Linked DNA regions of Xenopus tropicalis. The protein of the gene in region 2 interacts with the protein of the main gene of each other region in a pairwise test. Links are inferred from orthologs where the notes say so. Each region holds a gene or a part of one and is shown on either strand. Other genes may lie near its edges. The genes, in order: git1, arhgef7 and sh2d1a.

The links.
Region 1: the proteins of arhgef7 (region 2) and git1 interact in binary tests that used the Homo sapiens proteins (3 or more experiments, as listed by UniProt). The link is inferred for Xenopus tropicalis from reciprocal best matches to the Homo sapiens genes ARHGEF7 and GIT1.
Region 3: the proteins of arhgef7 (region 2) and sh2d1a interact in binary tests that used the Homo sapiens proteins (3 or more experiments, as listed by UniProt). The link is inferred for Xenopus tropicalis from reciprocal best matches to the Homo sapiens genes ARHGEF7 and SH2D1A.

What each region holds. Positions count from the first base shown.
Region 1 is NC_030678.2:32,819,847-32,823,316, forward strand, and holds the end of git1 (ARF GTPase-activating protein GIT1), read left to right. Parts: intron 1-93; coding exon 94-306; 3' UTR 307-2,947; downstream 2,948-3,470. UniProt on the Homo sapiens protein: GTPase-activating protein for ADP ribosylation factor family members, including ARF1.
Region 2 is NC_030678.2:116,924,911-116,928,567, forward strand, and holds part of arhgef7 (rho guanine nucleotide exchange factor 7), read right to left. Parts: intron 2,883-3,657; coding exon 2,823-2,882; intron 1,233-2,822; coding exon 1,086-1,232; intron 1-1,085. UniProt on the Homo sapiens protein: Acts as a RAC1 guanine nucleotide exchange factor (GEF) and can induce membrane ruffling. Functions in cell migration, attachment and cell spreading. Promotes targeting of RAC1 to focal adhesions. May function as a positive regulator of apoptosis.
Region 3 is NC_030684.2:49,046,751-49,051,061, reverse strand, and holds the start of sh2d1a (SH2 domain-containing protein 1A), read right to left. Parts: upstream 2,869-4,311; 5' UTR 2,647-2,868; coding exon 2,510-2,646; intron 1-2,509.

The DNA.
Region 1 (3,470 bases), about 84 Mb from region 2:
CTAGTTCCCAGTGATGTAGAAGACATGGATCCCCTATGCAGTTGGCCAGTGACTCTCTAACCTCCACTGTATTTTCTCCTGTGTTTGTGGCAGAAACCTGCCCTGGAGACAGTGCGATCATCACTGCGGCTACTGAACGCTAGCGCCTACCGACTGCAAAGTGAGTGCCGCAAAACCATCCCGCCAGAACCTGGGGCCTCTGTGGACTTCCAACTTCTGACACAGCAGGTCATCCAGTGCGCTTATGACATCGCAAAAGCTGCCAAACAGCTGGTCACCATCACCACCCGCGAGAAGAAGCAGTGACCACTCCAGCAGCCAACTGGCATTTCCATTTCCAAACTGTCAATTTGCAATCAATTTTGCTATCCTTTCATATTTCACACATGACTCCGAGGGGCGGGCACAGCCCGTCACCCCTCTAACCCTAGGAATTGGCTTCCTACATTCCACAATAGCTGGATGAAATGTGCAGCCCCATAACCCCCCTGTATATGTGCAATACTGACCTTGCTCTGTACCATCCTACTGTCTGTACTCTCTGGTTGGACGTTCCTAACAAACGCTAAACGCTGAAGGAATATAATGATTGCAATATAAGTACAGTCCTGTGTGTTCTCCTATTGTAAAGATTTGGGCCTGGGTGAAATTCTCTCCCCATCACTATCATCATATGTAGCAGAACAGAGTATACAGTACAAGTGGTTCTCACAGTACAGGTGGATCAGGTTCCATAATGTACTTGTGTGCAACTGCAGCTAGAATATGTCACCCCAAGCCCCACAGAGCTGTAACCAGCGCCTTTTATTTAAGTTTAAAGGTGCAATCATAGAGTTCCAGAATAGCACAATTTCCTTTTATAGTCTTTCATATTTCCTTGTTCTGATAGTGGTTTGAAGAGACTAATATGTAATCTGTGCTGTAGGATATGACGCGTGTGATTGAAGCTGTGTTGTGGGGCTGCATATTTTGGCACCCTTTAGCTGTGACCAGGCAGCACCCTGAGGCAGGAGGCATCATGACTATGTACTATGCAGCAAATAGACAGCAGCTAAAGGTGCACATTGTATGTTCCCCAGTCTGTTTGCTCTAGAGCAGGGCCCATGCATAGCCTGTGTCAGGCAGCCAATCACATACACTTCCCTGGCACCAAGCAGGGGGCAGCACTCATCCATAGGTGGCAGTTACATGCGCCATGCTGCAAACACTAGGCAAAGCACAAGACTCATGCTGAGCCGGACATGCATTCGCTCCAGCACTAGAGCAGCCAGTCCTTACCATGCAGTGCCGCAGATTGTTATTAATGTGATCAAGGCCAATGCTAAACATACACTGGAATCAATGCGTGTGTATATATATGAATATATACATATAATATTTACTAAGCATTTTTTATGTGAACAGTAGGGGGATTGATGTTGGACGACTGTTAAATAATTGATATGATAACCACTTTAATGTTTTACTCTAAAGAGTAGCACAACGGCAATGCTCAGAGTGGCCAGAAATATAACTTGATGTTTGCACTGACTTCTTAGGCACCCTGTGGCAGACAGGCCCCTACCCTAACCCTGCCTCCTCCCCGGATGTCTATGTATCAAAATCATGTATATTATATATATATATATATATATATATATATATATTGCCTGCTGACGTGAAGTACAATGTAAGGCTCAGTATCCCACTGGCAGTGCTGCTCCAATGGATTTTATGCTTGCCGTATCCTTGGGGCCTGCACTTAGTGTGGGAGTCGCAACATTTTACCTATTGCCGTAAGTAATGTTACCAGTGTCTGCCATAGATACAGCCGCTGGCAGAGACCTTACACTTCTATTGGGTAGAATCCACACACCAACTGAATTTTTTTTTTTTTAAATTAATTTTAAACCCCCACAAGCTGACCAATTATTACCCTGGAAATGACTCATATAATTTGTATCCTGAATTTCACATTCAGATGAAAAATTATCCACTTTCATTAGTAGATTGGCTTTGTAGGAATGCTTGCCTTTGCCAAAACAAGGGATGCCAACCTGTGGCTTTTTCGCTGTAATGGATTGCAGCTCTTGGCAGCCATATTTGATACTGGCAGAGGGCACAGGTTGCACAGTCCCGGTATAATGCCTTATGGAAATCTCTTTACACAGAAGATGGAAATACATAAAAACAAAGCAGCTGTGGCGAGATATAGACCCTGCTGCTGCCAAGTAGAAGTCACTTATATTTTTGGAGATCGTTATGTTTTTGTAAGAAGGGGGCAAAATAAAAAGCTAGATTAAATGGAATAAGAGTGTAGATTCCTCAATTCTCTGTTTCTGTGTGTCACTTTCTGTGCCAAAAAACATGCAAGCAGATGCCCTTTTTTTTTATTATGGCAAGGACTAGTAACGTTGTCTTTTATTCTATGTTAGTGGCCAAAAGTCTATTGCTCTTTACAGCAAATGCCCCTTTGCATTCTTTGGAAAGCCGTAAGGAGCTAAATGGACTGTAAAGGACAGAAAAAGGACCTCATACATGAAGCCATCTTTTCATATTGGCTAGATCTTTCCGGAATAATGTTGCTGTTGGGTTAGCGCCGTAAGGTTAGACTAAAGGTAGTTTGGGCATTGAATGTGAGCAGCGGTCCTGCTGTTCCATCCGCGCGTATCTGCAAGCTTTGTTCTTACACAGTAGGCAAAATGATTGTACTTCTTACAAGATGCTCCCAGAAGCCACTACATGAGAGGGACCCGCTGCCACCCACTGATCTTGCTGGGGATTTGTATTTTAAAAAACCTGCTGCTCAGAATCTCTCAGCTCCCCCCTTGCCGTACTTGTTCATACAGATTAGTGCAAAATGGCCGACCTTCTCCATCCTGTTATTTGTGAGAGCTTGGTGGTGGGTGTAATGTATAAAATTGCTCATATTGTACATTTGTATCAAATTAAACAACTAACAATGGAATGTGTCCCATGGAGTCTGTTATAAGCTGAATTCTTGGAGATTGATCTCTTGGATGGTATTGGTGAAATAAATGGATAAATTGCATTTCACCACATGCCAGTCTGATGGAAAAGTTTGGGTCTAGCAGATGCCAGGGGAACACTACCTGCCTGAATGCATCATGCCAATTGGAAATGGTTGGTGGAGGAGGAGTAATGGTCTGGGGCTGATTTGTTGGTTTTGGCTAGGTCTCTGTTCCAATTATAGAAAACCTAACTCTACAGGTGAATATAGACATTCTAGACCAGTGCTGTCCAACTTCTGCGGTGCCGATGGCCGGAATTTCTCTTGCATACATGGTGGAGGGCCGCTAATGGAAGCCAGTTTTGGCCACGCCCCCGTTTTAAACCACACCCACTTCAAACCACACCCATTTTATCACAATGGGATATCAACCATCATTCATATGTTAAAGAATTATGTCATATTAAGACACACCCTTACATCCATATGCCTCCTCCTCCCCTGTGGATAGCACAGCAAC
Region 2 (3,657 bases):
CCTGCGACTGCACTGGTTGCGAGCTACTCGCCACCTTGCATCCTTTTTCCTGCCTTCCAGCTACCAAGTGAGCACGCACACGTAGGGAAGACAGCCAGTGTAAAATTGCAGCTTAGGTGCCAATCAAAAAAAATTGTGGTCAGGTCATTTTCTTTATTCTTCTACAGACAAAATTATCCTCATATGTATACCTCATAATCTTATAGGGATACAATTACTTGCAGGCTATTAATGCACTATTACAGAACCTTATATGCAGTACCACAGGTGCTTCATGTTTTGAATTTTGCTCTGCATATAAGATCCATGCATTGGAAGTAAATAACATCCAGAGTTGATGAAGGCCATACATGGCTTGCAGTTCAACTGATCATCCTGCAATCTTTTATGTGCCTGTGCACCATGCTGGTGAGTACATCAGCAGAAGAGAAAGTGAATAAATGCCATAGCTCCACTTCACTACCTGCAGTTCAGCCCATTGGCTGGAATGTGAAGGTGACTATACACGTGTATCAACACTTGATCAGTATCTCTTCATTCGGCCAGTGTATAGTCAACTTTATTTACAAGTAGTTTTCAAAGAGCAATTGCACACAAGCCTATTTTAGGCTCTTTAGTGCCATGTTTTTTCAACACTTCTTAAGGGATAGTATTCTGGAAATGCAAAGAGTTGACACAATTATGCGATTAACATAAAAATGTATGGTGGGCTGCTTTGAGAGCTTTCAAGTATAAGGGGACTGAATTTAAGGGGTACCAAAAAGTAGGGAACTTAAAGCACCCGACATAGCCTTTTATGTATGAAAATGCCATATTTTTAAACTGAGCATAATGCACCATCAGCAGCTCTATAAAAGTAATGGACAAATTAATAACATATATATCATAAGACTATGATATCAGTTCTAAACAGGCACCAATTATTAGTTAGTATTAGTATTACTGGTTGTATATATATAGTTTATGTATGTGAGTGTATAGATTGGTTAGTATAGGTTGTGTGCTGGGTTTACTCGGATGGGTTGAACTTGATGGACAATGGTCTTTTTTCAACCCTATGTAACTATGTAACTATATGTAATTACCTCGCTTCCTGCACATTGTATCATAACCTGGGACATGTATATAACTGTGCCTAATGTCTTAATGTCTTCCCCCTCCCATCCACGAATGGTTTCTGTCAGGATTTGCAGCTCCAATTCTTTTCTTTTTCTTACTTCTTGACACTGCGCCTATAGAAGCAAATAATGGTTATTACTAAACTATAAATAAAACCCAGACTTCAAATGCTTATGTAGCACCAATTTCTTACTATAAAGTGCTAAGATAATTGATGCTTCAGTGCACAGAGTAAAATAAATATTGTAATTAAATAATGGAATTAATTTATTGCTCTATACATAATCAGCAATAATTCATAATAATGCCCCATATTCTGTTCCTGCTAGAGACTCCAATTAAATAAACAATTAATCATTGAAATTAAAAAAAACATGAAAGGAAATAAGTTATAGAGAGGCACATGAGATGTGAAGATTACTTGAAACTTGCTTTATTGCTACATAAGATTGAGTTTGGTGCCGGGTTTACATTTTTACTTCTATGAAGCAGTGTTTTAATGTTTGTGCTTTTTCTTAGATTATAAAAATTCTACTAAATAGTAGCAGGTGTTTAAAGGTGAAGGAAAGTTAAAATCACTGGGGGCTGCTGAATATTAGCCACCACCCAGTCATTATAATCACTTATCTTATATTCTAGGCCGGTACCCTGGGTAACCTCTGTATGAGCACCAAATAGCGATCTTTTTTTCCCCGCTTCTTTTTTCTGTTTCCCCAGCACGTGTATAGTAGAGAAGAGGTATTAGGCACCCACAGTGATCACTGGGAGTGCCTAACAGTTGGCACTCCCAGTAATTTTAACTTTCCTTCTCCTTTAAGGACACAGGGTGCTAACATGGCAGGTATTGGCAGGTGATGAAGTGTCCACCAATACCTGCCCCTAAACCTTCCCTAAAATTTCCACATGTAAAACACATTACATGTATCATTCCCTAAAAATCTAAAAAATGCCTTCTTCTGCATTTTTGGACAATTCCAGGGAAAGTGAAGAGCCAGGTGTTGTTGAGCACTTCATCACCCATGGGAGAGGAGATTTCCAGCCAGGTGACGAAGAGCCCCATCTCGAAAACCTTGGTTTTGTAAACATTATTTGTTGTTATTTTTTTTGCCAATATATTTATTCGTACATATGTTATTCAGCAGCATTCATGCTGTGAGTCGCAGAAAGGTTTCACCTGATCTCGCAGGCTGATATCAGCAATCTAAGGCTGATGCCAGACGCAGGCACATGTAGCCAATATACGCATGAAAACACGAGACTTTGCATTATCTCGCGTTTTCATGCGGATATCGGCTACATGTGTCTGCACCCGAGCGTATCTCATTCATTTGGGTGCAGGCACAAGTAGCAGGCGTAGGGCTGTATTTTCGCCAAGCGTTTTTCCGCTTGCCGAAAATATCAGCCCTACGTCACGTCTGGCATCAGCCTTAACAGCACGGTTGCACTGTTTTTTTTAGTAGGACAAAAAATGCTGGATTAAAAAAAGCATACTAACAAACAAAAAAAGTACAAAACCTACTTGTGAAAAAGTAGTAATTAAGCATGAACTACACCCTGTGGTAGCCAGATGTATAAAAGGAAATATTTCAAGAACAAGTCCAGTGTACATCATATCACCAAAATAAAAATAAATGTAAACTAAACACATGGTATACATTCAAAGCCTGACTCTTTCCCTAAATATATAGATGATTTTATCTTACAGAGAGATTCTTAAATGCAGTCATAGACTTCTGGATATCTGGTCGATCTGGGTGATAGTCCTGAAACAAACAGGTACAAAAATAAACATCATACTTTTTTCTCAGACAAGCAGTAAAAAAGCATAAAGGGCCACAGCACCCTCAAATCTTCAGCACAAATGTTTGCTCAAAGCAGATAAATACTTACGCAAGAATACATGTATGGAATCTTTGTACAGGCTATAAGATAACCCAGGGAGTAGTGCTTGGTAAGAAGAGTTCAATTTACATCTTGTCAATGACCCCAATAATATAATGCCCCACCCCATAACCAACTGTCGACACCCCCACCTAGAGGGAACTATATTGCAATACAAAGAACAACATAGCTGCTGTGATTAATCAGACACAGTACTCCTCTAGCCAGTTTTATATTCTGCATTACTTCAGTCAATCAAGTAGAGTTTGATCAATCAAGTGGTTGGCCCTTAATAATTAGAAAGAAGGCAAACTGGAAGGACCATGGACTTTGTATATTCAAATTGCCTTTCTTTACCCACTAGGAAGGAAGTTGAAATGTTCTTGGTAAATACTGGTGTTTTACCTGTCACCCCAATAAAAATTAACAGATCAATACAAGTGCAGTCATTTCTCATATAAACAGAGAACAGATATGCCTGAACAGTGAGGCTCTAGTCATAGCCACTGAAGATTCACTGAATAAAATCAGTCTGACACTCTCTTTTCACATGGCACATACAGTAGTAAGGCCACAGAAATCAAAGATAAACTTACTTTTTTCCTTTAACTTGGCAATGGTATTGCGCCTCTAACTTTTCTATTTATGCAACAGTGA
Region 3 (4,311 bases), on a different chromosome or scaffold from region 2:
AAAGTTTTGAAAATGCATATATGGCCATAAATGTGTCAGTAAAAATAAACGCCATAAAACAAGACTATTTTATAGCATGAATAGTTGCAAACTTAAATGCCATAAAGAAAGACTATTTTATAGCAGAAATATTTGAAATTTTTTTGTCACCAGAATATTCGCAACTCGCTAAAACTAATGCCAACATAAACATAAATATTCATCCTATATGGGGATGAATAGAAGGGTTTTTCCTGACACTGCTGACTGCAGTCAAACAGCAGAGCAGTAAATGATTGTCTGATTTGGCAACTATACCTTGTGCAAATGTTGTTACATGACCCCCCCAGACCAGTGATTTAATCACAGTTTTATGCACCAAGTCCCCTTGTGTACAATGGGAACGCATCTTCTGCTCCTAGAAAGAAAATAGGATCTTTCTTTTCTTTACCCACCCACATGAATGTAGAGTATTGTACATGACTGTAATTCACATTGGCTGCATTACTGGCGCCACATAACCTTTACACTTGACACATGGTATCACACATAAAGGGTTAATGTAGTACTAAGGGCAATATTTTCCTCAGACAAAGTGGCCCACAAAAAACAATTAGATATTCTAGTCTGTTTTACTACATAACCCTACATTTAGGGAGCAAGGTAAGTGACTGCTATTAGGAATAAAGCCCCACTGAGTTAAATGTTAACCCAAATGCTGTAGGCTTCACGGGACAATAGAGTGACCATGGCTCAGGAATGGAGGGTTATTCCAGATGGCACGTTACACCCCATGTATATATTTATCAAGGAGAGAAATATAACTTGCTACAGTTTTTTACAGGCAGTTTATTATAGGGTGCAAATGAGAGTGCACTCTTTAACAAATAGGCCCCTAAAAACTCCCATACAAATAAAGAGAGCTGTGAACTGTGGTGAGATCCATTTCACCCCTTCATGAATATGCCCTTAAACTTCCATACAAATTGAGACCTGTGTATGTATGTATGTATGTATAACTTTATGTATAAAGCGCCACAAGGGTACGCAGCACTGTACAATCTTACAAAATACAAAATTACACACAGGGAGGACAAGTGTTATAATAAATAAATATATATATACCTCTACAAAGGGACCTGTGAAATACATTTTATTACATATTTATCACAAATAATAATAAGAAAAGAAGCAGACACCCAAGCCGGTGTTGTAACCAAATCCCAGCTGTACTACTGAGCTACAATGGACAGCAGTTTACTAGAAAGCAAGAAAATTCTAATAACTTCCTCCATCAAGTGATTGTGTTTGTACATGTGCCTGAATGTGACTACATATAATAGCTAATAAAGGTCCCTTTGTACATGAACACATTTGTAATACAATATTCATTGACTCTACTCAGATTGGGCATTAAGACCACATGGATGAGAAAGAACGCTCCTGAAAAGGTCTGATTAGAAATGTATAAAACAAGTGTATGCAGTGCAATTAACAATACTGGAGCATTTCGGCAATATGTCGGTCTACCTTGATCCTCCTCTTTCCCATATAAACAAGGGATTGACAGGCAAATATAGACTTGCATTTGTATTTTCCCCCCAGTCCAGGAAATAGTGGAATGTAATATCTCTCTGCCTGTGACCTACATATTTCACAGCAGTGCCTGGGTTTTGGTTTCAACTAAATTCGACTGCACAGTGCTGAACTATTTGGGTTTTTTTTGTCTCCCATTAATGGTTTGTCCCCACTAATTTTATTCCAAATAAGTGCTGCAATGACTGCAATAAGCAATAATTGTTCTATAGTAGTTCGAGTGTTAAAAGCAAATATCTGAATGGCTGCTATGGATTACTGAAAATGGCTACTGATTCACATAGTACTAACTAAGCCTTATTTCATATTTATGTTGAACAGTAAAATAGTGGGAACCACAATTCTTACATTTTGTTTTTAAAATTTGGTTCAGATTACTGATATGCATTTCCAGGGACAGAATTACATGTGTTAGTATATAGTTTGGGATTAAACGGTTATCTGGTTGCTCAGGTCCTGCTGATCCTAGCAACCAAGCAAACCCAAAGATGAATAGACTAGGTTCTTAACAGAAAGATAAGTTTTTTATGCTGCCTCTTGGAGAGGCCATAATGATAGAGACAGCAGGCTCTGCAACTGCAAAGGTGCTCAGGTATACGGAGGGCCTAGTAGAGATGTCATTGTACCATATTGTTTTATATTTTTTTTTTTTGTAGCATATTTGATTATATTTGCAAAACAAGTTTTTTTTCCTTGATGTTTTGGATCCCTAAAGAAGACTTTGGGGTCAAGAAACTTCTAGTTAAACCAAATACTGCCTCGATTCTATCTGCTGAAATTGAGAAAATACTGATACAAGGAATAAATGTTCAAGAAGTGAATATTCTATCTGTAAGAGTCCTAGACATATTTAAGTAATGTCACCCATTGGAAAATTAATTTTAATGCCTTGTAAAGGGCATGTAATGATACTGTAAAGAGTAGAGATACTTACAGAATACAGAGGCAATACATTCCGGGCATGGTCTCGCTATCCCGTAGCAAGTAGCTCCCATCTTTCCCTACATCGCTCAGGAGCTTCTCGCCCATCTCCCGGCTAATGTTTCCATGGTAAACTGATACCTTCTCCATTGGGTGCAGAGCAGTCTGTTGCTAGAGTGGCAATGGAAGAAGCACTTCTAGACAAGCAGGGGAGGAAGACGCTGTCTTTAATCTCTTCAAAGCAAATGCAACAAAGACGAGACAGGATCTCACAGGTGGAGACATCAACGTGTTACTCATGAAATCATCCCACAAGCACACACATGAGCACGAGTAGGCTGACGTGAAATCACTCTTGCCAGGCCTACAACAATAATAGGAAAAAATACTGTGGACGTAATTTCCATCATGATTATCTAGAGAAGCATTTAAGCCATGCAATCTAAAACAGGCAACATGCTAACAAGCAGTCAACCTTTAATTAATAAAACAAGGTTCCCTAGAATATTAAGAAGCATCACAATCGTTCCTAAAACTGATGGCATCTGTAACCTAAATATTACCCTCTCATCAACCTGTCAGAACTGTGAATTCCTTTTTCTTGAACTCTTGCTCTAAATGTCATCATCCTTTGCCCTAGTTACATACCTTCACTCTTAAATGTGTACCTGTGGTTTTAGTATAATAATAAGATTGTGAAAGAATGAGAGCTGGAAGTGCTGATATAAGGGACTGAGTGGAAAGAACATGGTACTCTGTTACTAAGTGGCAAGAGCATGGTTCTCTGTTACTAAGTGGCAAGAGCATGGTTCTCTGTTACTAAGTGGCAAGAGCATGGTACTCTGTTACTAAGTGGCAAGAGCATGGTATTCTGTTACTAAGTGGCAAGAGCATGGTACTCTGTTACTAAGTGGCAAGAGCATGGTATTCTGCTACTAAGTGGCAAGAGCATGGTTCTCTGTTACTAAGTGGCAAGAGCATGGCACTCTGTTACTAAATGGCAAGAGCATGGTTCTCTGTTACTAAGTGGCAAGAGCATGGCACTCTGTTACTAAGTGGCAAGAGCATGGTACTCTGTTACTAAGTGGCAAGAGCATGGTTCTCTGTTACTAAGTGGCAAGAGCATGGTATTCTGCTATTAAGTGGCAAGAGCATGGTTCTCTGTTACTAAGTGGCAAGAGCATGGTACTCTGTTACTAAGTGGCAAGAGCATGGTACTCTGTTACTAAGTGGCAAGAGCATGGTATTCTGTTACTAAGTGGCAAGAGCATGGTGTTCTGCTACTAAGTGGCAAAGGCATGGTATTCTGCTACTAAGTGGAAAGAGCATGGTACTCTGTTACTAAGTGGCAAGAGCATGGTACTCTGTTACTAAGTGGCAAGAGCATGGTACTCTGTTACTAAGTGGCAAGAGCATGGTATTCTGTTACTAAGTGGCAAGAGCATGGTACTCTGTTACTAAGTGGCAAGAGCATGGTATTCTGTTACCTTCTTTTTCCTTACTTCTTTAGAAATTTTGGTACCATTGAAACTAAAGCACATGCAGATAGAAAGTATAAACTGATGGCCTCAAGGTTACATAGAACTCTGGGAGAAGCTTTAGTTATGGTAGAATGTAATAAAAGCCATAAATGATATGAAACAATTGAATGTCTTTCTGTGATGTTGTTCTTTAGACATGGACGGGATGTATTTTTATTTTGGCACGTTTTGGGGGGCGGCCCTAGGGTGCCTATTTTTTTTTTTTTAAATGTAAACAAAAATGCCCCCAGCCTCAGCCACGCCGCGGTTTTCCCTCTTAGTACTTATTTGCTTT